4 linked regions of the Schizosaccharomyces pombe genome follow. The protein of the gene in region 3 interacts with the protein of the main gene of each other region in a pairwise test. Each region holds a gene or a part of one and is shown on either strand. Other genes may lie near its edges. The genes, in order: sly1, dpe2, toe1 and sec24.

Region 1 (7,948 bases), on a different chromosome or scaffold from region 3:
GCAATCCTTGTTAATCTCATGAGCAATATCACCCAAGATGATCAAAAATTAGTTTTTCTAGATCTTCTTAAAAGCAAAGTGGGGAATAGTATTTATAGCCAACTTGTTGACGGCGGTCGTAAATTGTTCCTTCCTAAACTACGTAACTGGTTTGTATCAGCTATTCGTTCTAAACACGACGAACTCATTCATTTAATACTGCTCGTGCTAGCTAATCTTCCTCTTACGACTGAGAAGCTAGCTGAGGTTAAGTTTGGCAAACCAATTTTAATCGTAAAAAAAAAGTCTACCAATTCCGTTATACGCCAGCTTGCTGAAAATCTTTCTGAACTGGCCGAGAAAAGTTTTACTATTGAACAAAATAGAGAAAATGAGAAGAGCTCTACGAAGAACGATTCGACTGTTTCATCTTCCGCAGTCGTTATGGCCCCGGCTGGTCCGGCGATGGCCCCGTCTGCGTCTAATAAACCAAGCGCTTCCTCAACTACTAAATCAAGCAATTCGAAATCTAAAAAAAAGGTAACCAGCATATCGGGAACATCCTTCTTTAAAAATTTAGCAAGCTCTACAAAACCAACTTCGGCCTCCTCTTCAACAAAAGCGCCTTTGACAAAACAGCAAACCAACCCTTCTACTCCTCTTTCCTCTATCATGGCTGGCTTGAAAGGACGGGAGAAGGAAAAGGACAAGGATTCTGGAATAAGTTCAGAAAATGTTAGTAATAATCGTGAGGAATTGCCCAGCTTCAGGAAGCGTTCCTCTTCGTCGAGGCAAAGTGAGGAGATTGCATCTTTACAAGCTGAGAATGCAGTGTTCAGTAGTGATCCTGCTTCTAATGATGAGAAAACAGGAAACAAAAAGAGAAAGAAGAAGTCCGTTTCATGGAAGCCCGATAACGATCTTGTTCAAGTCAAATTTATTGAATCTCTTAATGAGGAAGGTGCCGCGTCAGTCAAAACACCACACATCTATGGAAATGCTAGGGATATGGACAGACAGGAAGCTCGTGTAGCGTTTGGTAGCCACGTTGAAGACGATGTAGAAAACGAAATTATTTGGTACAAACCAGTTCCTATAAAATTTGAAATTTCTAAAGATGAAATCCATCCTCGTGGATACAAATGTGGAGGGAATGAACGGAATTTGACCCCGGAAGCCACTAGCGAAATAGAACGTGAGAAGAATGAAAGTAAGGATATCTCCACTTTTAACATTATTTTGGATTTGCCTGTTATTCGAGAATTCGATGATTCTCGTCCTCCTGCTCACATCAAGCTAGTCTCGTCTGACACTCAAGCAACAACTGAATTGGGATTTAATGGTTTAGTGCAGCAAGTTTCTGAAAATAACACGAATGCATACTCAGCTACTTCGAATTCGCAATTAAGTTCAATTTTTTCTAATTTGTCATCTTCTATATCAGATGCTTCATCAAACGTTTTACAAAATCCATCTCTTTCGATACCAAATTACTCGAATGCTATATAAACTGAAGATTTTCACAACTTACATATTTTAAGCCATGTCTAACTTAAGTTATAACTGAGAATCTTATGAATTATATGTTTTTGAAATTTTTTTTTGTTAATTTTTTTTTTTTTTTTTTTGTTTGAGTTTTAGAACAGCAATTACATTTTCTTTTTTCTGTTCCCTCAGCTCTTGGTCTGAAAGTATATGTCGTTTACAAATAACCGCGATTTGCGTATAATGAACATTGATGCTTTCCAAATTTTCAATACGATGATGGACTACACAAATTCGACAAAAAAGTCATGTATCAAATTAAGAGTAAATCATTTATTTCATACAATATTGGCTGAACAAACATGATGGCCAAAAAATAAAACTAAATAATTTTTTAAGATAGAGAAGCCATTTCTTCCATAAATTCAGATGGCGATAATATGTCGGTACTACCGTATATGATACGCTTCTTAGGATTTTGTTCACGCGCCCAATCAGCCAGATTACCATATTCTAAATAATTACCACCTCCTAGTACGCAAACAATTGCTTCACTAAAAGTCTGTCTTTTGTTCATGGCCCTAGGATCATTGTTTACAGTAATAGCACGAGCTGATTTGGGATCTAATAATAGATAAGACTCTGTTTGTTTGGAGGCAGGAGAAGAGCCAGGGTCCATTAGACTCTGAACAATAGATGTAATAGTCCCATCCTTCCTGAAGGGAATCAGATTTCTAACCCCCGAAATAATATTTTCAAGGCCACCAATACCGGCTTCTTTAAAGCGGTCGGTAAACTAAAAACAATTAATATGTGCTTTAAGGTGAAAAAGTGTCAAACTATTCTTACCCTTGTGGAAAGACTGCTAAATCCACGAAATAAATTATCTCCTGTTTGACCCGTAGCTGGTCTTGTGGTAGAAGATGCTAACATGGTCATTTTAGTTATTTCACGAACCCTAATATAAGTTAGAAAAAACCAATAACATCAATCAGTATACCTCTTAACAAAATTTAATGCTTCTAATGTACAGCCATTGTTAACCAACGCCTCTTCATATGCCTGCAAATCAGAAGCCGGTACGGAATCAACACTTAAATACCAAATTATAAAAAATCGTAGCTTGTCTTCGGGAGTTCCTTGTTCCTTGTTATTGATGCAAGCGAGAATGGCACTTCTGTTTAGTCCAGTTATATTATCTTCTAACTGAAAAAAGTCATCTAAATGGCGCTCTTGAATAGCTTTTAATAATGCAGTTGCTATATTCATATGCATGTCAAGGATTTGTTTACGAGCTGTAAGCTCTGGGAGCAAGCTAACTGCACTTTTTAAATAAGTCGAATCAGCAAATGCGTCAACATTAACTTCTTCAAGTGAAGAAACACCGGATTTTCGGGTAATTTCACTAGCATCATTTTTATATCGAGTCAACTCTTCATCAATGTTTTCGGCAACTTTAGGAAATGGTTTGCTAGCATTACTTTCCCAGAAAAAATCATTTCCATCTAAATCGTAAAACCGCTTTGTCATTTTTCCATCATCGACTGACTCTACGGTAATCCTATTGAGTTGCATATTTAGGGTATCATGAATCAAAGCTTGGTAAGTCCAAGAATGATTTATCATTGGAATCAAATCGACCGTTCTATCCAGTAAAATAAGAATTGGCCTTGGTTTTGGATTAACAGAAACAAAAGCATCCTTGGTATTCATTAAATGGTCCTTTAGACGTTGATTCAACTTTTGGGCAACCATCTCAGCAGCCGATCCTTGTGGGCAACGAATGATAGGAATGGTTCCGAGTGTAACGATCACTGAAAAGAGACCATTTACAATATCCTGAACGCGTGAATTAATGAGAGCCTCATCTGAAGACGGGTTATGGAACGTATGAAAGATTTTGGGCAGTTGAAGAGAAAAAAAATCACTTTCTAACACAACATAATTAAGATACTGGTCATACACTTGATGAATCATGTGACTTGTATTTGTTTTCGACGCCAATTCGGCAAACTGTTCCAGAAGAGCACGAGAAATGGTAGATGAAAAACAGACATAGGCTGATTCGTAAAGACCCTTCGAAAGATCCTTTAAAATATGTTAGCTTGCTGAACTGTAATACAAAAAAGTATTTGGTATCCGACAATAAGATTAATTGATTGAAAATTATGATACTGAGAAATCCATACCTCTATTATTAGCTCAATGTTTTCTTGAGTAGGTTGAACAAAGTAAATAGCTGGGACATCAGCAATAGGCTGACGAAACGAAGTGATATTCATGTGAACCGTAACGCCATGTTTTCTGAGATCACTAATTCTGAGAACAGAAGAAATAGTCTCCGACCCTGCCTTATCGAAGATTAAAACTTTCCAAATGGGAAAATTAGAGGCATGTTGAGGGCTTGATTCAAGTTCGTTGACGTCTTGGTTCAAATTAAGCAGTTTTTCTAAAGATTCTAAAGGTTCATATTAGCAATGCTTACTGAGAATTATACAGTTTTATTAGCAACACTACTTACGAATTTGAGCTTCTCTCAAAGAAGACGGTGTTTTTACAGATGCAATAGACATCGTGCCAATTCCAACTTTGGCACTAATATAAGCACTTAGAAGGATGATTTGTGTTGAGGGATAAACATAAGAATCATACCCTTCATATGGTGGTGTATGGCAGTGAAGCGAGTCTCGCTAAATGTTCAAAAAGGTAAACAACAAAATAAATATTGAGGTTTGGCTGTTTTACCAAATCTTGTAGTCTTCAATCTTTACTAAAGATTTCTGATTTTCATTAAATTTTTAGATATTTAAAAAAACAGTACTAGTGCACCGGAAACATTCAAAGCGTAGGAAGGAAATCAATCTTGCGTTCAGTAGTTTACTTTTCTAAGATTTAATCTCAGCTTTCTAACTGTGCTTACATTACATATATTTCTAAGAGGTGTTCTTACTTTACTATTTACTTATAAAGATACAATTATTAAAAGAGTATCCAAACGCAAAAAGCTCTTAATTATGAATTTAGCCATTAATGATTTGCATATTCTAAGTGTCTAGGATCATATACGATGGCTAAAGTTGCTCATGGGATCAAATAAGTAGAAGGCATGTCTTCGTTTATTTTTTTAGACTGAATTAAACAAAATATGAAATTATTCATTGATCATTATGATGATAATGATACCGTAGACCTAATCATCGTAATAGTAATTAATTAACAGCAATGATGGATGGAAAATATAATTAAACAATGTATTGATGGAAGGAATTGGGCAAAGTAAACCGAAAATATGACAAAGAAGGTGTCGGACTCGAATAATGATAATGATAAAACAAAAATCTCAAAAAAAACGGAATAAGGACAAGGATAGTGATGACAAAATGAAATGACAGAACGATTATGATAACAAAAAACGGTAGTAAGCAAAGTGTTGGGAGTAACGTCAATAATTGAGCTTTGAAAGAAAAGAAAATGGTGAGTACGTTAATCCTAGAATAGTAAAAGCAAGAATAAGCGATAAATATGGAAGCTCAAGAAAAAAATAAAATTAGTGTGATCAAGCTGAATGCTATCAAGAAAGCAAATGGTAAACGAACTGGTGATGGGGTCGATGGAATGATAGAATGAAGATAGTCAATTAATTGGTTGTGAACAAAGGATAATAGTGATCATGACGAGGAACAATAACAATGATTCTGGAAAGCTGAGCTGTAATCAAACGGGAGAAATAGTAAAGAATTCGTCAGTGGATAGTACAATGATAATGTGTATAAGTGAGAATAGTTGGTTTAATGATAGCAAGCTGGAAAAATGCAAAATTGGCTGGTGGGTTAGCTTAAAACCGGCATCAACGGAAACAGTAGCAAATGGGAAAATATTGTGGTAATAGTAAAAAATGGATAATGGTAAATGAACAAACTACCCATGAAGTAACGGATCGAGAAGGGTTCATGAATTCATCAGCAAGAAGTAAGTAATCTTTAATAGGTAAGAAAAGTAAAAGTTCACAGACCGGCTTCTCTTAGTGATAGAAGAATGGTTTGAAAAACTAATTGACACATTGAATGAATAAAACTCTGCTCAGAAGGTTGAAGGTAATTTTTCTTTAAAGACAAAAAATTACATAATTTAAAAGAAGACATTGGAAATCACGGAAGAGTAGTAATGTGACAAAGCAAAAAAATTTCAAATTTGGGTGGGAAACAATCAAAACGTGTAAAAACGATAAATCAAAAACTTTCAGTAATAAGGTTTAATTAGAGTCAAGAATAAAAAGAGTTTTTTTTCTGAATTTTTTCTTTTTCAATTTTTTTTGGAATTTTAGATTTTTTTAAGGCAATGTTTAGTTAGGTTTGGACAATTTTCAAGTTTTTTTCAGAGGAGTTAGTGTTAAGTTTTTGGGAGTCTCTGTTACAAACTAAATTTGCATGCTGAGTGAATACCCGTAGAATTGAGAATAAGCAAAAATAAATGGAAACATACTGACTTGCTGATGAACAAAAGTTACTTCGCGAGTATTGGAACTAGTCGTTTTCGTGGTCGGATGTTTGAGGATAGTTCGGAACATTGCAGTTGAAAGGAAAAGAGGGAACGGCTGTAAAGGGGATAAAGGGCTGATACTGGATACCAAAATTTAATATTGGATCCGAACCTGGAGGAATTGCTGGACAATAAGCTACAGGATATGAAAACGGTGGAGTAATAAATTGCTGCAATGGAACATTCTGTTGGATAGGAGAGTTGGATTTAGACTTTTGAAGCTCTTGTTCGCATCTATCAGGAGCATAGCGGATTTTGCTCTTCTTGAACAAAGGATGTATAGGCAAGCCATTGACAGCCTTCATGGCATTAGATATATTTGTATAGGCAACGAATCCAGAACTTCTATTTTTTAAATATTTAATTGATTCAATCTCTCCATACTGACGCAGTATGAGCTCTAACTCTTCGGTAGTAAGTGAATCTGATATATGGCTGAAGTAAACATTTCTGGAAGCGCCCATCAATATAGAATCTTCTAAAACTCTGGGCAAAGGTCCACTTTCTTTACCCCATCCTACTTTAATTCTTCGACCGTGTAATAAAACTTCTTCCTCAGCCAAGTAGTCGTGGAAAGCGTTGGCGGCCGAATACGTTATAAATGTAACGAAGCATATATGTTTTTCAGGAATATAGTGGAAGTCTTGTAACCCTCCATGTCGGATTAGATCGCATATTTCATGTCCTTTAGTCTTAGTATGGAGATTGCCAAGGAAGACAGTACGGTTTCCATTGTCTTTTGATTCCTGCTGCCTGCAACGGTCAGACGTGGTATCCGGATTTTGCTTGGAAGTGAAACATGACCTTTCATCAAATGAAGGTGGATGATTTGCACAGCGATCTGAGCCAAAAAATATTCGCCATGAGTGATAGTCAGGATCGCAAGATAAGGTACGAACAACCTTGATTGCGTCGCGGATGTTCAAAAAGTGAACAAAAGCAATATTCTTTTTCGAGAGGATTTTTATGTGCTCAATCTTGCCGAATTTACCAAACGCTTCTTCAATTTCCTTCTCGTGATAAGAAGAAGGAAGATTGCCGATGAACACATTACGGCTGGCCGCAGTGTTCGAGCAAAAATTTTGAATCGATTCAGGTAAAGGAGAAGGTCTAGCAAATGTCAATTTGAGTGGCCTACCATGAAAAATGAATCCACGAGGATGGTACCTTTCATAAAAGAAAAAGGCATCAGCAGAATCAAGAAATGTAATTATAATCCTGCGTTTTCCAGGGTTGGACTGAATCTTCTCTAATGGTCCAGAGTGGATAAGCGAAAGTAATTCGGAAATTTTGTAGTCAACTGGCAAGTTACCAAGGATTAAAGCACGAAAATCTAACAAGGATTCGTATTCTGAATTGAATGGTGAAAATTGCTCCGCAGGTTGTTGGGCAAACGGAGGAGGAGTACCTTCTCGAGGTAGGAAATTTGGACGGTTTACAGGTTTTGCATGATACATATTGTCGGTATAGTGGGCATAGGGCATCGGTATGAAGGTGTTTGCTGAAACATACATGTTGGGGTAATAGGTTGAAGGTGGAGAAGGATAAATGACTGAAGAAGAGTCCTGGTCAAAATGAGGATAACAAGGAGAATCGAGTTGTTCGGGAGGGGGATTCATTGATTTAGGAGCATACCCATTATGAGATTTCGGAATAAATTCTGCGGCATTGATGTTTACATGGAAAGAAGGATTAGGTGAAAGATTTTTGTGCTTTTTACCACCACAGTCAAGGTTGGTACATTCATTATTGTCCACTGAATTAAGACTACTGTTATCATCTTCTGAATCATTTAAAGTGCAAATGCTGTTGGCCGTGCCAGTACTTCCTGTCTCTTGAAAGCAGCAATCACTATCAACGAAGTGACCGTTGTTTGCTTGGTCTTTTTCAAGAACACGGTCGGTCTCAACTTCACTTCCGGCACAGCCAATTTTGTGCATAATAG
Region 2 (7,180 bases), on a different chromosome or scaffold from region 3:
TTGGAGCCATGCCATCCTTGGCTAAATTATACAAAGATCGACTTCCTATATATATACCACTGTTGATGGAAGAAAGGCAAGTAATTAAAATGACTGCATTGACAAAATCACCTGCGTGATTCCAACCGGCATTCATTATAGCAATTGTCATTGGAGACTTGAGAGTTTTGGAGCCTGACGAAAGATTTGGGTCATTCCATGCTACGGTGATACCGTAAGAGATTGAGATACCAAAATAGACATACAAGATTCTCCAGAACGTTTGTCTCACAGCAAGCGGGATAGCTTTTTTTGGATTTTTGCTTTCAGCTGCAGTCATAGATACAGATTCTACACCACTAAAAAAGACACCGGCATATACAAATGCTGAAACTATACCCCCAAATCCGTGTGCCAATGGCATTTCTTTAAACAAGTTGGGCGGCTTATGATGAGGAATTCCTCCAGCTGCGTAAATTATTGCAAATATGTAGAATCCAGTAATAAATAGAAGTTTAATGAAAGCCAAAATGTATTCAGATTCTCCAAACACTGACACACCTAGCATTTGGTAACACGTAAAAAAACCCCAAAAAATTAGAAAAAAGCCATAAGATGGCACATGGGGGCCCCAATATTGAAGAATAGATGTTAAAGATGTATATTCTGCTGCGATGTTGGTAAGCCATACGATAACATAGTTCCATCCGATAGCGGCTCCAAATGCTGGGTCAACCCATCGAGCAGCATGAGTATTGAAGTTGAAATCAAATAGCGAATTAAACTCGCCGATACTCAGCATAACCCCAAAAACAACAATACTAACGATGGCAAAGCCGACAATTAGACCCACCGGACCACCAATATGCAGGGCACTGCCCATACCAATGAAGACACCTGGACCGATGATACCAGCAAGGGCCATCATCGATACATGACGAGTCTTCAATCCACGTTTGATTCCATTTGAATTATTTTCCGCTGCGTCAACTGTTACAACTTCGGAAACTCCAATGTCGAGGTTTTCTGAGGAGGATAGCTTCTTGGCAGGAACTTTCTCAGAAGGCGCTGCCTCCATTTTCTTAATTAACTTAATTCACTTTATTCTTAATATTAGAAATTACAATTGGTATTGTGATCTATATATGTACAACAGAATTGATAAATGTAATCAATTCTAATAATGTTAGCTGCAGAATCAACATGAATTCTACCGCTAATTGCTCAAAAAAAGTTGTTTTAAGCGTCAAATCGTTTAATCGTATCTTTGACGCTGTGCTAATCAACTGCAATTCATTGGAATTTAAAGTGTTATTCAAGGTAAGCAGATTATCAGTGAGATTTTTAAAATCGCCAAATTTCGCTAAATTACTTAGCCTACAATGATGATAAAGATAAGCTTCTATATAAGTATTAAAAGGTGACAGATTTCAACGTTTTGGCGATGCGTTTATTTGAAGGTGATAAAATCGTCTTTATAAGATGAGATTTAGCGACTTGTTTAGGCGGCCCATATATACATGTCGGCAGGAAGACACGGTTTTGATATACCCATATCTATATATATTCAGATAAATTCCATGGTGATCGTCGCAGTAAGAAGCTGATAATAGTTGAAAATGACGGTTGATCTTAGGGAAGAGAAAGAGCTCGCACAGCAAAGATTTAAAGAAATTTGCAAGCATGCGAAAATTGTTGATACACACAATGACTTCCCTTACCTGCTGAGAGTTCAATTACGAAATAAGCTGCAGCTGGCGGAGTTTGATTTTGAGAACGGTTTAACTAGTCACACGGATCTTGTAAAAATGAGACAAGGTCAAGTCGGAGTTCAATTTTTTAGCTGCTTCATTGAATGCAAAAATCCGAATTACCTGTACCAAGACTTTGATACACCTACTACTGTGGTGCGCGATACACTAGAACAGATTGACGTTACTCGCAGATTGGTTTGCAAATACAATAATGATTTGAAGTTTGTCGATTGTGCAGACGATGCCATAGCAGCGTTTCGAAATAATGGGAAAATTGCAATTGCTTTGGGAGTTGAAGGTTTGCACCAGGTGGATACTTCTCTGGCTGTATTAAGACAATATTACTCACTTGGTGTGAGATATATAACTTTGACTCATAATTGTGATAACCCATTTGCTACGGCAGCTAGTTCCATTACTGGGGGCCTTCCAGACAGAGGTCTTTCAGCGTATGGAATTGAGTGTATTTTTGAAATGAACCGACTCGGTATGATGGTGGATTTATCGCATGTAAGCCACCGCACTATGCATGACGCCCTCGATGTAACCAAAGCTCCCGTAATATTCTCACACTCCTCCGCATACACACTTACAGAGCACGAAAGAAACGTCCGAGACGATGTATTGGAAAGGCTGAAAACGAATGGTGGTGTCGTACAAGTCAACTTTTATCAAGATTTCATTCGTAAGCCTGGAAGCGACCGTGCAACAATCGATGATGCTGCAGATCATATCTTACATATCATAAAGGTAGCCGGTTGGGAGCATGTCGGTTTAGGATCCGATTTCGATGGAATTCCCCAAGGCCCCAAGGGATTGGAAGACGTCTCTAAATATCCCGATTTGATCTGTAAAATAATTGAAAGGACGAATGCCACAAACGAACAAATTGAAGGATTAATGGGTTTAAATGTGCTCCGGGTTTGGAAAAAGACCGAGTTAGTGGCATTGCAACTATCTAAAAAATTGGAGCCCATTGAATCAAGTTGGTCTGGAAGAAAGTGGGAGTTTTACAGCTATGCTAAAGAGTTTCCAGAGCTATTTCCAGACGCCTATAAACTGAATGAAAAGAGTACTGTTTGGAATTATGATCAGCCTTTGAACATTGAGAAATAATATCATAAGGATCGTTGACTTTTTAAGAAGGTGAAGTAACCAGCTTTCATTTCGAGGTTACAAAAAATAAGTCATCAGAGAGTTTTTAGCAGCATGTCCTTCTTTCATACCCAATAACATGTTTCATTCTACTGATTTTTAACCTATGAATTATCCCAAGGAAGATCACAAGGACCGATTGCAATTTCGGTTAAGTTCGTATCCACATTGTGTAGTTTCGACAAGTAAATATGAACTTACAAAAGTTTTTCTATTAATCAGTATAGTTATAGTAGAGATACGTTGAATAAAATTATGTGTTTTATAAATCAATGGAATAAGCAAGCAATCAGACCCACATAAAGAAGCACTTTGCTACATGAAAATCGCGCTAAGGAATCAGCAATAAGACAATTAGAGAAATATGAAATAAAGAAAAAGAAGCATGCGAGAATTTGATATGTTGATGCAATTTATCAATCTACTACTTTGTAAGCAATGAAGCAATGATTTGTTCGAAAGTCACAGAGATTCAAAGTACTGAACCATACATGATTTTGTCAATAAGCTAACAGGGCATAAGGCCCACAATCTATCTTTAAACAATAAAATTAAAAAAATAAAATAGCAATAATAAGAGAAGGAGCCTACAGCACCCCGGATTCCCATGTTGTCTCCAACCATAGTACTAACGAGGCCCTCAGACGCTTAACTGCAGTGATCGGACGGGAACTGGTGTTTTCGCCTAGGTATGGCCGTAGACAATGTTTTTCAACAATAGTAAATTATATGGTAATTTTATGAAAAATTTTATGATTAACTGTTAATGAAAAGAAAAAGTAAAATAATGAAGACGACATTTTGTCAGTGTAGACTTTTGAGCATGAAATTTGTGAATGATCAAATTCGATTAATTGATAATATTTTTTACTACGTTTTATTTTACCAAAAGTATTTGCAACATCATATCGATTATGAAAAAAATTTTTTTTTAAACAAAGTAAATTAATATATTTGTTCTATTTTCATCTGTTAAAATTTTATTTATTTTTTACAATCTATTCGCATTTTTAATTTAAATTAATTTTATTATTTTTTTTATATCATTTTATTTTATTTTACTTTACTTTTTTACGGTTTTTTTTCCTTGCATGTCTTAAAAAAACGTTTATAACGGTAAATTTGCATACATGCTCAAAAGAGAAAAAGTCGCATATGTCAATAGTCTTATCTTTATAAAGAGTCCAAATTGCATAAAGCCGGACCATATTATAAAAAACAAAGATAGCTAATTGAATCATTTGAACGAACGTATCAAACATGTTCAAAAGGACACCTTAATCACATGACTTGTGCAATAAAATATTAAAACGGATTTTAGATGCGGGATGACTAATTTGATGTGGAGAAAAAAATAAACGATAGATGGTAATTACCAAATAGTTTCTTTTGAGTTGCAGAAACATTGGCAGGTAAGCTAGCTATACCATGCAACAAGGCCTGACTTGGCTTCCCCTTGTATAACATGTTCATTTGTAGTTGCATATTTGCAGATCATTTTTATACATATTCTACTTTTTCACAGACATGGCTAAGGAAGTATGTAAGGAGGAAATGTATGCTAATTTAATTCTCAACAAATCCATCTTGTTGCATTGTCGGCAGTAGAATTTTTGTTTTTAGTTATGAATTACTTTTTGAGTAAGTACATATAAGATGATAGTTTAAGAAGGAAAGTCGATCTACACACGTTTAAAAATTGTTGAAGCGATTCGTGCATCGGTCAATTGTATACTTTAAAGCTTTTCTTTCCTTAGGTCACATCTAGAACTTATTGAACACGATTTCAAGTTGTGAAGAGGAAAACGGATGCGATCCACTTTTACCGGAGCTGGATGATTTTTCCAATCACATTGTTTACATGTCAAAAAGGGAGCACAAGAAGTCGTAAAGCAAGGATCGCATAGAAAATGTAAAGGAAATTAAAAAAAAAGATGAATGAATGAATGAATAATAAATAAATGGAACAAAAAAATGAATGAATAAATTGAATAAATAGATTAAATAACGAGAACAGAAAATAGAATCTTAAAAAAAAAAAAAAAAAGGACAAACAAGGAAACCTTAAGGGTTGCGTATGTTTGTATGTGCTTTTCAGATTCACCCTTTATTCGATTTCTCAGTATTGTTTTCTTTGCCTGGCTGGCTTACCTTTTCCCGTAGATGCCAGCCATCTTGGTAAATGTACATCCCCCACATAGACCCATGTCCCCCAGTCGACTGCAAACATGAACCACTTTGCTACTAGCTAAAAGGAACTGACTACAACTTTGAAAAAGTTCCTATGTGGGGGTGAGGGGGGAAAGAAAAATGCGGAGGAAGTGTTTCGGGAATACCGTGTTTCTGCCGAAGTCTTTGCCGGTCGTGGACCGGGTGTCCGAGGAATTCCCTCATGACAACGAAGCCGAGGGTGTCGCAAATGGGATAGCGAGAGAAAAAGAGAGAGAGCAGCTGAAAGGAAATAGCGATGAGAGACGAGGAAGAGAGAGAAGAACTGAGTAATGCGATAGAGGAGGAAAAGAGAGGTGTGTTATAGCACCACACAATTTTGAAATGTAAAATAAAATCAAAGACATGATGAATCAATCATCTTTGTGATAAATCAATTCAAACAATCAATGGTGCTTTTGTGCATAGTCAATCGTCCATTGACTATTCAACTCATTGACCTATTCAACCCATGACAAACATAGTGTCGACCTTAGCCTTTTCTCATCCCATTTTATTTTTCATCCTACATCTTTACGTCTACAATTTACGCATCCCTTCATCACCAACCCAATCCTTCCTACACCTATCTCCATCTTACAAATCTTACTCATTCATTTGATAGCTAGAGCCATCATCCTGTATATAGACTCAAAAAGAATGGAATGGGCCTTGTCTTTTCCATCTTTCTCCATGATACGAATTTACGGACTAGTGTGCTTGTCACTTTCCACTCGCTAATCTCTAGCACGTGGAATGCAACCGCACAGGGAAACGAGGATGTAAAGCACCAAGCAAAAGCAATGCAGTGGAATACGAAAACGGTGTGTGTAACGACATAAAAAAAATCTCATTCTTATCAGTAATGATTAGATAGTGTCTTGTTCTTTGTCTTTGTTTTTGCTTCTTGACTTGCCCGATATACTTGTATTAAAAATATACTCCATAGTACCGGATTTTACGCATTGCTGGGATGTAATAAATGTGTGATATTATTATTTTGTTACTGCAGTGAAATTGGGTTGGTTCGTAAATTGAGGTATAAGCTTGTTAAACAAAATGGAAGAGAGACTGATAATCGTAGTAAATGAACCAATAAATGGAAATGTATTTGACCCAGAAAATCAAATGATTTCAGCAAAGAGAGATTGGAGGCAAAAAGAAGAAAAAGAAAAAAGAAAATGGCCAACCGAGAAGAAGAAGAAAATTTTTTTAGCGGAAGAGAGAAAACATTTTGAGAAATTTAACGAGGAACGAGTAAAAGAGTAAAGAGAAAATAAATAACAAAAGAATATATAATGAAAGAATTAATAATCAAAACATTTACAATTTAACTCTAAAATTACCATTTACCTCTTTTTCTTTTTCTTCTTCTACTATACTTCTATCCACTTTACTCATCTCTTCTCTTGCCTTTTTTTTTTTTCTCTCTCTCTCTCTTTCTTTTCTCTTTTCTCCTTTCTCTTTTTGCTGCCCTACTCCCGCTGCCCTGCCGACGTCCTTTACCCTGTTTTTCCTCTTCTTCCTCTTTTCCTCGTTTTGCTCCCGGAAAAACGATAAGCTTTTCTAACGTGTTTCCTTCCCCTAACCTGCAATCTTCACATTTGCATCGGCAAGGTAGCAGGGGCGGTAGTTACGTTGGACTGGGGTGGCTAGATTCATCTTTAAAATAGTAGGGTCAGGATGATTGTACCATAGAATTGTTTTTTGTCCTCTACTCTTATCTAAGATTTGAAGGCATATCTATTGCAAAAGCAAAAGTATCTGAAACTTCGATGACTGCGTATTTTTTCATATAAAACGATATTGACCGGCATTGTTGAGTTGCGAATTGCGTTTGGAAAACCAGCGGAAAAAAAAGTAGGACATAGCAAATTGATTGCTTAGCTTTTGTAATAAGAAGGGATCAGGGCTGTTGTTGTTTTCTTGGTTTAGAAAAAAACAGAATCAAAAATAATAAAGCAAAAAAGAATATTTTGTTCTTTTTCCTCCACTCCCCATTTTATTTCACCCAACGGACTTTGTGTGAGAGCGATTATCGGTTCGTCTGTTATTCAAGACATACTTTGTATTATTTGGGTCTT
Region 3 (7,770 bases):
AGGACGACGTTCTCAGTATTACGAGCAAAAAATTATCGGGTTGTTTTCCTTAGGTAAATTACTTTTTGTGGTTTGATCTCGTCTTAATAGTAATTTTTCAAGGTTTATTGAAGGTTCTTTATTAAATTATTTTTTGTTTTTAGTTTGTCATAAAAATTTTTTAGATCATCTTTGTTTATAATGTATTGCTAGTTAATGAATGAAGTGTATTAATAGGTTATGCATATTTGTTGCGTTTAGACAGTAAGCGTATTCATATTACACTAAATAAAGCTGTTTATCTACTAAAGGGATGACTTCAAAAGTAAGTAAGCGACATATCTTTATTATGGTAATAGTTACAGAAGTAACATAGGATGTTCTATAAAAATCAAACATCAAATGGAAATAACACGCCTTATTGAACACAGAATGTTGGAAAACAGAGATTAAAGATTACTGAAATAACTCGTGAAAAAATGGATGTAAAATTATGTTTATTAATTAAAGGTTTGTCGAATGTCACGGTATGGACTTGAGTATAATAAATTAAATAAATCGCGAGGATATGCAGTGTACAGGGCTTTGATGAAATAGATGTTACAATTGATTATATCTAAGGTTAATATATCGAAATGAACGAGAACGAATAAAAATTAGGGTAATTAAAATACAATGAATGGATCAGAAAGAGATATACACTGATGAGATGAAAGATCAACGATTCTAGCAAGTGCCAAAGTAGCGGTCACCGAAATCACCGCATCCAGGAACAACGTATTTATTAGCATTCAATTCGGGATCAATAGACGCTGTAACCATTCTAAGCTTGGGAAACTTAGCAAAGACATTAGTAATCCCCTCATTGCATGCAATGAGATTAACAAACACAATGTTTTCTTCTGGGATCCCCTTGTTGATCAGAGTTTGAATGGCGAGAATTACAGAATTTCCCGTAGCCAATAAGGGATCTAGCAACAAAACCAAACGATCCTGTGCATCCTTGGGTAACTTGCAGAACATCAATTTAGCTTCAAACGTAGTTTCATCTCTTTGCACCAATAACTTGCCGACGGGAACTGAGTAGTTGCAAGCAGCGGCCAATCCATATTCCATACTCTCTCCAGCTCTTAAAATGCTGACGCCGCATATATCTCTAGCTGGTTGGACGCCAGTATAGGTGCCGCCGGAACTAGTCTTTATTAAGCATTTCTTATAAGGTAAAGCACTCAATGCTTCTTGCATTAGCATGTTGATAATGAGATTGGCTGTGCGCACAAACTCTGAATGGCCGGTTTGCTGATCGCGAAGAATAGTCATCAATGATAACAAGTACATGGTCTGACGGAGAACCACGACATTCTCGGGCTGTTCAAGAGGAATGGACATATTGGATGGAAATTTTAATTTAACAAAACGATTCAATTCAAAAAAAAACTGAAATTCGATAAGAAAAGGTTGATGTAACAAAAGGAATTTTTTACAAAATTCGTAAGATAGAGGTAAGTTCGTAAACAGTCAAATGTGGAAACTTTTTTCTCTATTCAGGGCCAAGAATTCTTCCTTTATATCTTTTAGATCGCCAGTTTTTAGTTTTTTTCAGACACTTTACAGCCGATTTTCAACCGCGGAATTTCCGACCGTCTTTGATTAAGCTATTGCGGAACAACCGCGCTATCGCACCGAGGCACAAACGCGGGCTCTATGGGGCAAAGATTAGCCACGTTCCACAGTAGCGACTCCAAGGTTGTACGGTTTAAGAGCTTGTAACGTAGTGCTTGAAACAGGTCGCAGTGGTCCTTTAAACCAGGTGCTTTCAGCAGTGCCTTCATTAACGGTTTTTTGATATTCCTTCAGGTAATTAGCAAACTTTGTAGCCAAATGATATTGGTCGACACTGATAACAAGCAACCATTTCCATATTTTAGTTACAAGGTCATTCAAAACTTTAGGCTGGACGATAGAAGTGTCTACCTCCTTTGTTTTTGCAGCGTAAATCAATCGCAGTAAACTTGCAGATGCAAAACCCGCGTGAAACAAGACATGATCGGAGCAACGAGACATATCGTAAGCTGACAATTCAAAAATTGCATCAATTGTTTTTAGCGCATAACTTTGCACCATGCTAACATACCGCGGTATGTTCGCAAAGTCATTACCATCCGTAGCTGTTTGGATGCTGGCCTCGTAAACGACATTGTAGGAATAAAAATAGGCAATCCGAGAATATTGCGGCTCGGGTTGTTCCCAAAGATGACACCATTCCTTGCGCCATTCTTCAAGCTGAAATATTGCATAATCCAAATCGAGGGTAGGGGATCGCAGCATTCTGTATAGCATGGAGTATACAGAGAGCATTCCCAAAATGTTTCCGTCAAATTCATTAGCCTTAGTATTTGTTAATATATTACGACAATCATCAAAAGTATTTTCATCCAACATAGCATGACGACGATATCCCATGCACATAACCAAATGACCATGGCAGAGGTGATTCCACGTTCTTGCGGGAACGATATCGAGATAAGTTAGTGTAGCGCTAGATCCCGCAAAACCGTTGAACCATCCCTTGGTGCTCGAAAGCGTTCTGTGTTGCAAAGCAAACCCGCTGAGGAGCCAGAGATCTTGTTTTTGGGAAAGCCGAAGCGGTCGATAAAGGGTTAGCATAGATACAGCCTCGAAAAACTGTAGGGAAGGTGAAGTAGTGAGCAATTCCTCTGAGATAAGGCGGTCCACGATGTTTAGTACGTCCGTGTAAATCCTAGCTTTCAGAGAGGGATTGTGTCTTAAAGCAATGAGACAAGCGGTTGCAAGCATCAAATGTGATTTTGTGTATAGTAGTTCCATGTACTGGGAAGCACTGTAGTCGACAGAGAGCCAGCGCTTACCATAGCGCTCTATAAAAATTTCCAAGAGCAATTCGATTTCATCCATGGAGAGTAAACCCTGGAGGAAAACGTCTTTTTCGGATTTGAGGGAAATCTGGCCTGCAATAGGAGAATTTGTGATAGAACTGATGGCCTTCTCCAATACCTTGAGTCTATAATAAGCAGTTTAGTAAATTTGTTAGTTTGAAAGATGGTATTACAACAACAAGACTACAGTAAGAGGAATGGGTTTTTAAAAAGTCTTAAGAATAAAACAAATATATTCATACCTGTTTTCTAGTTTTGAGTTGATATTCGCGCTAATAGCATCCATATTGTCATTTTCCACTTTTCGTATAAAGTGATTTGGATCAGCCAAGCTACAATCCATGTTCAAAGAGCGGCATCTTAAGCACGCGCGGTTTTCATCCTCAACAGAACCTGCCAGGCATCTCGTTTTTTGCTTACGGCAAGAGTCGCACGCTTCAAGAGCACGTTTCCTTTTAAATGTTAATAGAGACGAGGATGACTGACGCGTCCGTTCCACTTCGCCCATTCTTTCCTACTTGAAATTTCTCCACCATGTAGGTAATAGAAGGAATTTATATCAGACAACGACTCTCGCTCAATAAATATATAGGTTTCCTTAACAATGGTTATCTATTCTGGTCTCCGGGCAAAAGCACCTTGGAGCAACTATTAGCGTAATTACGGTTAAAATCAGTAGAGCTCGCTAGAGAAACCTGGTAGTATCAATAAATTTGTGGGTTGGACTCATACCTCCGTAATATTGATAAGGTGCTTACTCGGATTTTCGTCTGCCGAAAGAAGTCTATCTGATACTGTTGGCGTAAGAACAGGGACGGGTTTACGACACGGACAGTTAAAAAAAAGAGATTCGGAGCGATGCGAAATTTTGCGATGGTAAACAAAGCGATAGCGGTTGTTGAATCCTTTATTATTGATGAGTCATTTGTTGAAAAGTAATCGATGCTATACTCGCTGATACATATTGAAGGGTAAGTGATGACTAAAACGAATATGTTGGAAAAAAATGCAATACAGCAAGTTTATGTTTGCATACTCGTTTGAAACGGAACGGGCGAACAATGCTTTCTGAGTTGGCTTGTTTTATGTCAGGAGGTGTAGTTGAGTAAGTAATTGTAGTGTTTCAGTGTATCCCCTCAAAACACCTGGCAAAAAAAAAAAAAAAAAAAAAAAAAAAACATATCGGTGATCACCACTTACATCAGTATCCAACACTGCCGACAGATATTTGCAATAAAAGAATTTGTGAGTTTCAGCAATGTTGAATTAATTTAAGAACAAGATTACATAAAGCTTTTCTCACTAATTTTTATTAATCGTTAAAATTGTAAAGCTTTTGCATTTGCTGGTCATTGAACACACCATCACTCTTGTATCGCCAAGCTAACTTTTTCGCAAAAGAATCTTAATATTAAAAAAGAGATTTTTAAACTTAGTATAAAGTAGGGATAACTCATCATCAAAGACATATATACGTAGTACTACGAATACATCTAAGTCATTCATTCACAAACGTGTAGAGAAATGAGTAACATAAACAATACATGCTAATCAAGGGACGAAAAAGTTATGGAAATTGTACAATTTTAAATTAAAATTTGTTCATTGTTAATGTATCTGCGTACATCCCTCTCAACATTATACGATTTTCTTTCCAGGTACTTTTTGATTTATAGGGATAAAACGATCATATACAATTCTATCCATGCGTGATTACACAAGGATCAAGAGTTAATGCGAGTTAAATACGATTAAGCTCCGATCGACATTAAGCGAGAAGAAGGCCCCGCTGGTTGAGTCTGTGGGGAAGCAATTAAAGAAAGCGGGATATGATGTATGGTAGTAGCGCGAATGTATGTGAAAGCAAATGTAAAAGATTATCAAAAATCTTTAGAAACTAAAATGCTATAAATATTACTATATCAAACAAACAACGGAATTTGGGATTTTCGTTTTTTTTACATACTAGCTGTTTTCGTTCTTATCCAATTCTACAACATGTACAAAAAATTTACTACTTCTACAAATCCCAAATGTTGACATGATTAAAAAATGTATTAAAGAAAACAAAAAGTTAACTAAACTTTCAAACTTATAAATAAAAAGCATAGTAACTGGACAATGATTCCATCCAGAAAAACATCTGACAAAAGCTCTATAAAAGACGGTGACTAGAGAAATTTTTTATCTGACCGAAGAATTGGAGAAAGTTTCGAGAATTTATACAATGAAGGTAATTAAACACATGTATGTGAAATTTAAAATAAACATGGTCCTTCTGTGACGTCTAAAACAGATGGGCAAGCTTACCAATGACGACCGTGAACACAAGAAAGATCATCCTCAGTGACCTTCTTCTCAGAGAAGTAACCGGATTGAATCTTAGCATCGATTTCGACTTGAGAATCTTCAGGAATAAGATCATCGGGAATAGTGATACGGTTCAAAATCTTGATACCTTGGCCAACAATGGCATCATGCTTCATGTTAGACATACTGAGCATGCGGTCAATCTTCTTAATGCCAAACCAGTGGAGAATATCAGGCATAAGAGCTTGGAAACGCATATCACGAACACCGGCCAACTCTTCAGTACGCTTGAAGTAGTTCTCGGCAGAGTCACCAGTACGCTTACGCTTGTTGTAAACAAGGTATTTGACAACTTCACCAAGGGCACGACCCTCCTTTCTGAAGTAAACAACCAAACCAGCACCACCATTTTGGGCTTCCTTGGCAGCTTCCTCAATACCAAAAGTCAAATAAGGTCTGCATGTGCAAATATCACTTTGGAAGACATCAGAACCGTTGCACTCGTCATGAACACGGACAGCCAAGCTCTTGGAAGTATCGCTAAGGTATTCAGGAGGACCAAAGATGTAAGCAGTCAAACCACCGATGGGAGGAAGGAATACTTTGATGTCAGGACGGGTGATAAGTTCGGGATAAGCACCACCCATTTGCTCAAACAAAGCACGACGAAGAGTAACTTCATCGACACCGAAACGTTCAGCAACACCAGGAAGATACCATACAGGCTCAACAGCAACCTTAGTAACGGCAATGTCACCCTTTTCGTTGAGAACAATCTTACCATCGATGGGCAAAGAGCCATTTTCAACAGAACGTTGAATCTCAGTGACTTGGAGATGAGCACGGGTAATGGCAATGGTGGGACGAACGTCGTAACCCTCATCCAAGTACTTCTTGAAGACGCTAGGGGTAAGATGGCCATAGGGATCCATGGCGACGATCTTCTTGGGATCATGCCAGCTGTCCAATTCAGGGAAGTCAAAAGTGGGCTCAGTGAGCTCAAAGTTGGGACGATGATCAGGGGGCAAGAAACCACCGGCAACAGCTAAAGCATTGTAAACGGAGTAGCTACCGCCATGAGCACCGACGGCGTTGCGATGAGGAAGAGTCTCAATGGAGCGAGCGACAGTAATAGGTCCACGTTCCTCAGCAGTGGCAGCGCCCCAGTTCATGGGGAAAGGATCAATTCTAGATTGAGAGGGATAGGTGGTCAAGACGACAGGACGAGAGTAAAGAGGCTTCTTAACCTCTTCGGTCTTCTCGTGAGCATGAGCGCCATTGCACTCTGCAGGACGGCTTTGTTCAGTGGCAAGCATATTGAATTAGTTCTAATTTAGTAATTGAAGAAAACGGATAAGTAAAACAACAAGAAAAATGACAAACGAATGTTCAATGGGTAGAAAGAAATTCGTTTCACAAAATTAGCCTTTAAACAAAGTGAATTGAGTAAGGCAGCTAAAGTAATGAATGAAACCTTTGCAATTGATGTTGAACCGTATGGATTTCCTCCCTTATTTATAGCCTTCCAGATACTATCAATGAAAGCGCTAGCTCGCATGATACCAGATACCACGCGGACTTGCCGCGGGCACTTCCTCGTCAGCGAACCGAAAACAATACCTTGTTTACATCGTTGCGCCTTCTTAGACCTTACGAAGTCGCGGGGAAGGGTCGTGCACGCATGTTCTCGAGCGGCGCTACCGCGGGCAATAGCCGACGCAAGTCATTGTTTAGAAGAAAAAAAATTTTTTTGTAATGTAAACAATTGGAATTGGTTGATGTCAGTAAGCAAATATTCCCATTTACAGGAAAAGAATAGAACATCATTCTTACAAGTATTCAAAGAACGATCGAAAAGATGGTTTCTATTTCCACGGCTTTGTATTTATACAATTCGTAATAGTCAGTAGTGAAGGCGTTTGCCACACATTCTAGTTCGAAATTCTTTTTTACGTAGGATATAAAAATAATAATCCGTGTCACGCTAATCGAATTAAGGTTGACTTCCATATAGGCTCACTGGAATTGTGTAACGAATTTAAGGTTAACCAGGCCTGCAATCACCAGTTTGCGTAGACATTGCATAGACGGAATCAATGTATACAAGCTGAACTAATTAGTATTTCATTTTCAGTATGTTATTAATGTAGAGAATAAAAAAATTCTTCTTTTTTTTTTCATTGACAACCCTGAAATGTTCTTGACTTTACGCTGAGTGCAGTAAATTGGTTATTGCAATACATTCTTTTTATGTAGTACTGAAAGATTCTAGTAACGAGGTATACAGTCGTTCAAATCTTACTTGCTGCTAGAACAGATTTTTCAATTGTTCTCTATTAGATATAGACAAAACATTTAAAAAAATAAATATGATAAATAAATACAAATTTAACAATACAGAGTAAAAATATGGAATCAATCATTTAACTGGTATGTCTGATTCATGTCTGACAGTTTACAGATCAGACTGTATATTAAATATGAAAGTCATGAATATTGTCCAGTAGACTTTATTATATTTTATTTTATATATATGTATATTTTTATCAAGTTATTGGTTGAAAAA
Region 4 (8,988 bases), 3.0 Mb from region 3:
TGATGTACATTGCATAGTTTCATGGCGTATTTATGAATGTGTAGAGGATAAGTTCGAAACAACTTAAACTTGTAATTTTTTTAGTCATATTTATGAAAAGGATTAGTTAGGAAGTGATAGAATATTTGACATAAAAATCAGGATTTCAGTACATCAGTAATTTAAATTCCGTTCTTTGACTCTATGAAATCACTAGACGCTTGGCTAATTTATCATAAAGAAAAAATTATTTAATGATTTTACTTTTCTTCAATCAACCTCTTTTCATCCATATTTTATTTTCGCATCAATGAATAAAAATTTATGATGGGTAAGTAAATAGAATTATCTGATTTGTTATTTTGTGGGCATCACTTCTGTATTCATGTATTATTAATGAAACTTACTTAGTTTTCATTTATGTCTCTCTGTGTACTATTAATTTAATTCAAAAAATTCAGAAATGACCTGTCAAAATAGCCTCTTATGAATGCGGTTAATGTATGAGTTATTGACTGATAAAAAAACTAGATGCAGGCACCCTTGCTAAATTAATCAATGATGATGATGATTATTTTATTTTATAGCTTGACATTCGTTCTTTTTTTTAACCTTTTATTAATAATGGGTTAAATTATAACATCATATCGACTGGGGATGTAGTTTAGGGGTATAACGTTTCATTCGCATAGTTCGCACCTTGAAAAGGTCCCGGGTTCGATTCCCGGCATCTCCAATGTTAGAAACTATTTTTCCTTTTTATCCACATTTGTTTTATTTATTGACTACACGGCAAACAGGTTACATACACAAATGTATACTAGAAAAAATATAAAAGTGAATTTACTAATATAAGTAAGATGAGAACATTCTCTCAATGAATACACAAAAAATTTAAATCTATGACTTTGAGGAAGTAGTTAAAATAAATTTGTTCATGTAGCTAGCATAAATCATCGGCGTTAGAAAAAGCGGTGTAAGAATCATGTAAGTTCGAAATGTAAGTTTCTTCAGGAGAAGAATTTAGCATTTTGTGCAAATGAATTAAAGTATCTAAAGCGTTAACATATTAACAATAATTATTATATTCAAAAATTTACCAGAAAACGTAGAAAGTCCATCGATAAACAAGGTTTTTTTTATTCTTTCGAAATGCGATTTACAAGCATCTGCTGTCCATAGGTGATTAGCATATTCTGATAAGCATTTCCAATCAATCATCCGTTCCTCTGCAACATTAAGGTCCATCATTCTGAATTTAATTAGCTTCTTATTTAAAATTTTATAATTGGAGTACCTTTCAATTAACCATATACTATCGCCAAGTTTGAAAGGGGAACTATTATGTATATCTCTGGAAATTAGTGTGTAATACTTCCACCTACAATGATGACGGTGTCGATTTCTCATGTTTTTAGAAATTAGACTCCATTGAATAGGGGATGAAGGATTGCTTTGCAAGTATTGATTAACCGTTTTGATTAATTTTTCTTTCTCCTGGATAGTCCATGGTGAACGATTGATTTCACCAGGTTGAATGTAGTCGCGCCAATGATCTCTGCAATGCATTGGTAGTCTATTCGACAATTTGCCAATTAAGCTCCAGGATGTTCCATGTTTTTCAACAAGTCTATTAGTTAGTTGCAATTTGGAAAGTAAACTACATACTTTTTCAATTCTGCCTCATCTTCTATAGTCCATTTACATTTTTTCTTAAATGGATTATATTTTCTGCGGAGATAATTGTAAATACTCTTTTTATCCCTATCGATAAGCTCATCTATTATTAATTAGTAACAAGTGATAGTAATTGACTTACACAAACAATTATATAATGTTTTCATTTCATCACGATGGTTATCAGACCAAACATATTGAAGAAATTGTTCATCAGACCAATTTTTTTTCTGTTTTTTAATATTTATAATAAAACAGCAAGCTAAAGACCATACCTTTTTAAACATAGCAATTTCTTTTTCCAAAGTGATAATGTCGTTTGCTCCCCATGATCCAGACGACGCTTTTTTAACGTATTGAAACCTTTCATAACCTGGAATGTTAAAATATCCCTTAAGATGCCTATACACAGTCCTTCGTGAAACATTGGGCACTTGAATTTCTAGACTTGAATTAGCGGATTTTTTTGAAAGCACTCAGGTGTCATACGAAATTGAATGAGTAAATTATTGAAAGGTTTTGGAAGTCTTTTGGTTTTAATAAGAAGATCTCTCGCAGCCACAAAGTTTAATTCGCTTTCTTTCAAAAATTCATCAATTAGTTGACTTAACAGAACCCAAAAAGTGGGTGTCCAGTTGGTGTAATCTCTACTGAATACAAAGTCTTTATATGAAGTAGTGCCTGTTTTTTTGAAGCCTCGACATGTTTCATGGTCTTTCGCACTTCCAGCAATTGCTGTTTTCACATTTTCAGGTGATACCATAGTCTCATCATAATTGTATTCATGAAAGCTTATGGGGTTTCCCAAGTAAATGAAAGAACTTGTATTTTTCGAGTCACCAATGGGTGATAAGAGTTGATCATCGACAAAGAGCTCTTCATTGTCCTCTGTATCCGGTCTGCAACTTAAATTGTTTTTTCCTTGCATAATAATGTTCACTTGTCTGAAGAAATATTAAGAAAAAAACATTGACAAAAGGTAATCAGTATAGCAAGGGACCCGGGGTGTAATAGTTCATGTAAGACAAAACCAAATAGCGCAGGCAACTTCAATTATTCAATCTATAATTGAACTTTTGATACTTTGCAATTCTGAATTCTAATTAACTAGTGAGCCTGTTAAAATTGGGTAACATTATAGAGCGTTGGTGTAGCTAAATAGTGTACGATACATGCAGTGATGGTTTTTGAGAGCATTTTTAAAAAAATTTCAAAATTTCTTAAGATGTGACTCTCTTGTTTATGATATATACATGTAAAATTTTTAAAATAGAAAATTAAGTATGAGTGGTTTAGAAGAGTTTTTTTAGTTGAAAACGTTTACAGGTATCTGCCTCATATCAAACTTAAAAAAAAAAAAGAATAAATTAAAACGATAAAATATCTCTATTGGCTTTTGTTTACTAATAATCACTATTTTTTATCAATTAGGTACAAAGTTCCTGCCTATGTTAAAATTATTAGGGTAATAACGTGTGTCACCGATATAATTACTACGATACATAGTATTTAATAACGAAACTGTAAAGCTCGTTAACTTTCCAGTGATTACCTTAACTTTCCATCTACGTTAGTTGAACCAGCGAATGTAGCTGCCATTTACCTACTCCAGGGAACACTGTTAAAAACGTCTTTTTGTGAAAAGGAAGGAAAAATAGAGGGATCTTCAAAAAAGTTATTAAATAATTCAGTGTTTCTTTTCTTTTTTTTGCTAGCAATATACCACTGTAAGTAAAAAAAAATACACTAAAGCAATGAGTCAGGAGGACGCTTTCTACGGAAAGGGTAGTTATGGAGCTAGTAGTGGAAATTCGAATATACCTCCTCAAGGATTTCAGCCAGTTTATCCAGTTGCTGGCCAGCTAGATAATACCGCTCCTTATGTCGGGGCAGTTGCTGAGGGTACAGCTGAAGGCATTGTAAGCAATGGTGAATACGCTGTTGGAGCTATGGGTGCTGCTCCTACCAACATAATAGGATCTGTCGATCAACAACCACCCGTTTCTCATACCTCTCATAAGTCTCGTAGACAGTATCCTGCTGAGGTGTTTGAACTTACAAATACCTTAGCAGCGTCACCGGCTCCCCCTTCTCTTTCAGAGCCCTCTTACGTTATGGCACGAACTCCATCCTCTTCACCATATCCTCATGATCGCGCAGAGGTGGGAACTAAATCTCTCTCTGCACAATTTGGCGGAATGTCACTTGGAGCAGATGGTGCAGCAGCTATGCCTACCAATGAGTTAGTTTCTGTTGATTTGTACAATCAAACACCAGAAATTTCTGACTTAACCTCTCCTCCTCCTCCTATTAATTTACCCTTAAGCTATTCCGCTACTGGAGCAGCTACTTCCAATTGCCCTCCCAAATATGTTCGATCCACGATAAACTGTGTACCGACAACAAATAGCTTGTTAAAAAAGTCAAAAATTCCATTTGCATTAGTCATCCGTCCATATACTAGCTTGGTCGAAGAAGATGATCCAGTTCCAGTTGTTACTGATACTATTATATCACGATGCCGCAGGTGTCGTATGTATATCAATCCTTTTAGTATCTTTATTGACAATGGCCATCGCTATCGCTGTAATTCTTGTGGTATTGTTAATGAAGTACCCCAGTCATATGACTGGGACAGTTTCAGAAATGTCCAACGTGATCGCTGGCAACGTCCTGAGCTCAATTATGCAGTTGTTGATTTTATTGCTCCTCAAGAATATATGGTTCGTGCTCCACAACCTTTGGTTTACGTATTTTTAATTGATATTTCGTTTGTATCCATATCTTCTGGTATGGTTGGTACTGCAAGTCGTGCAATTCTGGAATCATTGGATCGCATCCCCAATAAAGAAGGACGTGCAAAGGTGGCTTTTATTGGTGTAGACAGTGCCCTGCATTTTTTTTCAGTTTCCCCTGGTGCTGAAGAAGCCACCCAACTAGTTGTTTCTGATTTAGAGGAACCGTTTTTACCCAGGAATCAAGATTTGTTACTTAATTTACGCGAATGTAGACAAGGCATTGAAAACTTACTCGAGCGATTTCAATCAATGTTTGCAACTACCCGTGATTCTAGTAATGCCCTTGGACCAGGTCTTAAGGCTGCCCATCGTCTCATTGAAAATATTGGCGGTAAAATTTGCTGTCTCATTTCGAGTCTTCCTAATGTTGGTGTTGGTAAATTGGAGTTACGTGAAGATCCTAAACTTTTGGGAACAAATCGTGAATCTAGCCTTCTTCATCCCAATGACTCCTTCTATAAATCCTTCGCGGTGGAATGCTCCACGTCTCAAGTCTCTGTTGATATGTTTCTTTTTTCTTCTCAGTATCAAGATGTAGCAACCTTAAGTTGCCTTCCTAGATACACCTCTGGTAAAACCCAATTCTATCACAGGTGGAATGCTTCCCGTAGCGAGGACGCTCTTAAATTTGCTTCTGAACTTACTAACTATCTCAGTATGGAGATTGAGCTAGAGGCGGTGATGCGTGTTCGTGGATCTAACGGTCTCCGTATGTCTTCTTTCTACGGAAACTTTTTTAATCGTTCAAGTGATCTATGTGCGTTTCCTTCTTTTCCTCGCGATCAGAGTTATGTAGTAGAGGTTGTTATTGAGGACACTATCACCAAGCCCTTTGTTTCTTTCCAAACAGCTATGCTCCATACTACTTGTAACGGTGAAAGACGGATTCGTGTACTGACTATTTCTCTTCCTACTACCAATAGTATGACTGATTTATATGCATCAGCCGATCAAGTTGCCATTGCACAATATCTTACTGTCCGGGCTAGTGAAAAGGCTCTTTCTTCTACGTTGAACGAAGCCCGTGATAGCATTATAAGTAAGCTTGTAGAAATTTTGGAAGTTTACAAAAAAAATTTGGCTGGACAAAACACCGGTGCTGCGATCCCGCTTCAAATAAGCACCAATTTAAGACTATTACCATTGCTTTGTTTAGCATTGACGAAGCATACTGGATTCAGAAGATCTAGTCATATCTCATCTGACCTTCGTTCTATTGCTCTATGTTATTTAAGTACTCTGCCAACTCCTTTACTAATGCGTTACATTTATCCAACTCTTTATTCTTTGCACGATATGCCTATTGAAGCAGGAACTGTTACAGAACAGGGTGTAGTTCTCCCTTCTGCGTTAAATCTTACTTCAGCTTTGTTGCAATCTTTTGGTTTATATTTGGTTGATACACACATTCATCAATTTTTGTATATTGGTAAAGATGCAGTTCCGCAGCTACTGATAGACGCATTTGGTGTAAACTCTCTTGCGGATTTGAAAGCTGGACGTTTTACAATGCCAGTTATAGACAACCCACTTAACGTTCGTATCAATGCGATTCTCGGTAAACTTCGTTCGTTGGATAAAGGTTCAACTATTATGCCTAGTCTTTACCTTGTACGTGGTGATGGTGATCCACAATTGCGCTCATGGTTTTTCTCTCACTTCGTCGAGGATCGTAGTGAGAACTCTCCCAGCTATTTACAGTTTTTGCAGACTCTTAAAGAGAAAGTTCGTGACTAAAGGCTGTAAAATCTGGCTACTTTCTACAAAACTTTTTTAAATTGATTGTTCTGATGGTAATATATGCCTGAATTAGTGACATGATTAATTAATAATATTCAATATGGTTAAACATTCTTTGGTTTTTTGTATTTTTAAGAAAAAAAAAATTTAAATAATTGATCTAGTAAATATACTTGGTGCTTTTTATATTGATGAAAGCTATATATGTATCAAACTAAATTAGGTATTTGCGTACATGTAGCTTCCAGCCAGCTTGTACATAAATTTTAGCTTTTATACCTTGTCTATTTTCATATTACTTGATGTTGAAGTTGTTCCAAGAATAACAAAAGGTTCTAATAATTTAATTTAATTCATTACAATTGAGTTGCAGTGTATAGATTTTCAATTTCGCACTTTAGAGCTTCACATCTTCTATTTAAAGCATAAAAAAAATATTAAATATTTATTAAATTTCATTTTCATTGCAATTAGATTATATATCCAGGCGAGTATTCACTTATATTGAAAAACTAATTTAAGAATGTAATTTTGCACTGCGGTACTAGGTGCTTGGCAAGTGGTAGAATTTTGCCTTCTGCCAAGCACTCCTAATTGTAGTAATTAGATTAGAGAGTCGAAATCCTATTATTTTAAAAAGATGGGAATCAAAGAGAGGAATGCACCTTCTCAATATAAACAATCATCTCGTAAAAACAAACGAGCATGGAGGAAAAATATTGATTTGGAGGATATCGAGTCTGGTCTAGAGCAGACTAGAGATGAGGAAATAAAAGGGTATATTAGTTTTTGCATTGTATTAATTAAAAATATTTTTATTAACTTAAAACAGTGGAAATGTCGAGCACAAGCCGAATGATGCTTTATTTGTAATTGACACTCTTGGTGATGATAGAATTGCAAAAAGAAGCAGAAAAAAAATTAAACCATTAAAGGTTGATCAAATTCTTGAAAATAAGTCTTCCATAGAAAAAGTTCATTCTCATTTAACGAATAATTCAACTGAAAGCAATAAGAAAGGAAAAATTTTTTCTAGAAAAGAACTAAATAGACTACAAGCTTTGGTGTATAAAAATAAAGATGGTTTAACCGCAACTTCTGCTGCTAGTGAGCTCAAAAATACCAAACAACCAAAGGAAAGTTATGATGTTTGGGAAACAAACCCAACAGTTACTATACCTGTTAAAAGACCTTCTACATTATCTAAACTACCCGAATCTTTAACTGAGAATAATGCAAAAGTCCCAAATGTTGTTATCGCTGATCCAGGAATGTCATACAATCCTGACGCTGCAGCTTGGATGAAGCTACTTGATACCAAAGGTTCAGAGGAACTTAAGAAAGAACAGAAAAGAATTAGTGAATTAGAGGAAAAGGAAAGAATACAGAAGAAAGCTTTTGAAGACAAGGGATTAGTTTCAGACCAAGACGTTAATCACAGCATTGATTCTGATGACCAGTCTGAACACGAACAAGCAGAAACTCCGATCCCTTCTTCGAAGAACAAACGAAAAACCAGGTCTCAAAGAAATAAGATACGCCAAAGAAGAGAGGAGGAGCTTAGATTACTTGAGCAAAAGAAAAATGAAGAGCTTCTGAGGACGATCGACAAAGCTCCTGCAATATCCAAAAAACTGCAGCAAAAGGATAAAGCTGAGAAATTCTCTAATAAGGCTGTTTCTTCTAGCACAACTGAAATCAAACTGAAGAAGAAAAAATTCGGTAAACATCGATTGCCTAACAACCCACTTGAAATAAAGTTGGGAGATGAGCTGACTAGTTCCCTTAGAGAGCTGAAGCCTGAAGGAAATTTGTTTGCCGATCGCTATTTAAGTTTACAACAAAGAGCAATGGTTCCTCCATCTTTGCCAGTATTGAAGAAATCAAAGTATCGTGCAAAGATCAAGGAAAAATATAGTCACAAAGACTTCCATCTTCAAAAAAACAGTATATAAAATATATTTTAGCTAGGGTATAAATTGGGGTTTTTTTTATTTTCACTTACAAATAATAATTAATACTTGAATAATGTATGGAGCTTAACAATAATACTGTCATATAGATTAACTAATGTACACTGTAGATAATAATTTAAAGACGAAACTTGTCTCTCTTGCTTTGTGTTTTCTGTCGTTTCGCAGCACCAACCTTCATAGCCTGCTCAGACACCAACTCCGAAAGCTCATCTTGCCAATTAGAACTTTGATTTAACGCAACATCTCCTTTGTTGGTTGATGAGAGCATGGAATGTGCATTCCTTTTTTGTGGAAGAGTATCTTCAGCGGTAGGAATGTCGTATTGATGCTGAGGACCCATGAAACCTGAGATATTAGTAGATTTTTCAGGTAAAACTTGATATAAGTCTCGATTAGCAGCATCACTACTTGGTTGAGTATTTTTTCGTAATTCAACATTGTCAACCTCTACATTAGATTGATTAAAATACGTTAAGGGCTCTGCATGCAAATCTTCCCTCTGTGACCTAGGCTCTGACGCTGACTGATATTCCTCAATCGTTTCACGTTCAGTAATTTCTTCAGTAGGATATTCTACGTCTTCGCTCTCTTCCTCTTCACTAGATTCTTCTTCCTCAAACTCCTCCAATTCACCCCAATGCTGAGTGCTCACAGGCGAACCTGTACCAGCATGTATTCGAGGTTTGACATTACCAAACACGTCGCCATAAAGAGGACGATTAAATTGGTCCACAGGAGGTTTTCCCCAACCACCAGGATGAAATCCCCACTGCGCTCCAGTCGGAATTGGACAATTCACACCGGGAATTTTAAGATCT

The links.
Region 1: the proteins of toe1 (region 3) and sly1 interact in a two-hybrid assay, tested with the Schizosaccharomyces pombe proteins (one large-scale study listed by BioGRID).
Region 2: the proteins of toe1 (region 3) and dpe2 interact in a two-hybrid assay, tested with the Schizosaccharomyces pombe proteins (one large-scale study listed by BioGRID).
Region 4: the proteins of toe1 (region 3) and sec24 interact in a two-hybrid assay, tested with the Schizosaccharomyces pombe proteins (one large-scale study listed by BioGRID).

Annotation. Positions count from the first base shown.
Region 1 is NC_003421.2:1,919,286-1,927,233, reverse strand, and holds sly1 (SNARE-binding protein Sly1), read right to left. Parts: upstream 4,075-7,948; 5' UTR 4,038-4,074; coding exon 3,986-4,037; intron 3,923-3,985; coding exon 3,654-3,922; intron 3,553-3,653; coding exon 2,465-3,552; exon of another isoform or gene 2,423-2,464; coding exon 2,314-2,422; exon of another isoform or gene 2,261-2,313; coding exon 1,859-2,260; 3' UTR 1,761-1,858; downstream 1-1,760. Other genes in the region: ppn1 (cleavage and polyadenylation specificity factor complex-associated protein), read left to right, coding at 1-1,488; mug24 (rrm type RNA-binding protein), read right to left, coding at 5,988-7,948.
Region 2 is NC_003421.2:2,304,694-2,311,873, forward strand, and holds dpe2 (dipeptidyl peptidase), read left to right. Parts: upstream 1-1,526; 5' UTR 1,527-1,598; coding exon 1,599-2,849; 3' UTR 2,850-3,164; downstream 3,165-7,180. Other genes in the region: agp3 (amino acid transporter), read right to left, coding at 1-1,057.
Region 3 is NC_003424.3:1,834,219-1,841,988, reverse strand, and holds toe1 (protein toe1), read right to left. Parts: upstream 3,514-7,770; 5' UTR 3,403-3,513; coding exon 3,137-3,402; exon of another isoform or gene 3,020-3,136; coding exon 1,696-3,019; downstream 1-1,695. Other genes in the region: fur4 (plasma membrane uracil transmembrane transporter), read left to right, coding at 1-53; uck2 (uracil phosphoribosyltransferase), read right to left, coding at 706-1,368; urg1 (GTP cyclohydrolase II), read right to left, coding at 5,201-6,520.
Region 4 is NC_003424.3:4,796,345-4,805,332, forward strand, and holds sec24 (coincidence detector Sec24/Sfb2 subunit), read left to right. Parts: upstream 1-3,250; 5' UTR 3,251-3,410; coding exon 3,411-6,191; 3' UTR 6,192-6,308; downstream 6,309-8,988. Other genes in the region: RNA polymerase I termination factor Rtf1, read right to left, coding at 923-1,032, 1,080-1,231, 1,277-1,609, 1,648-1,759, 1,799-1,886, 1,932-2,098, 2,146-2,584; rRNA processing protein Rrp16, read left to right, coding at 6,835-6,971, 7,027-8,149; putative U2 snRNP-associated protein Sap145, read right to left, coding at 8,286-8,988. UniProt on the Schizosaccharomyces pombe protein: Component of the coat protein complex II (COPII) which promotes the formation of transport vesicles from the endoplasmic reticulum (ER).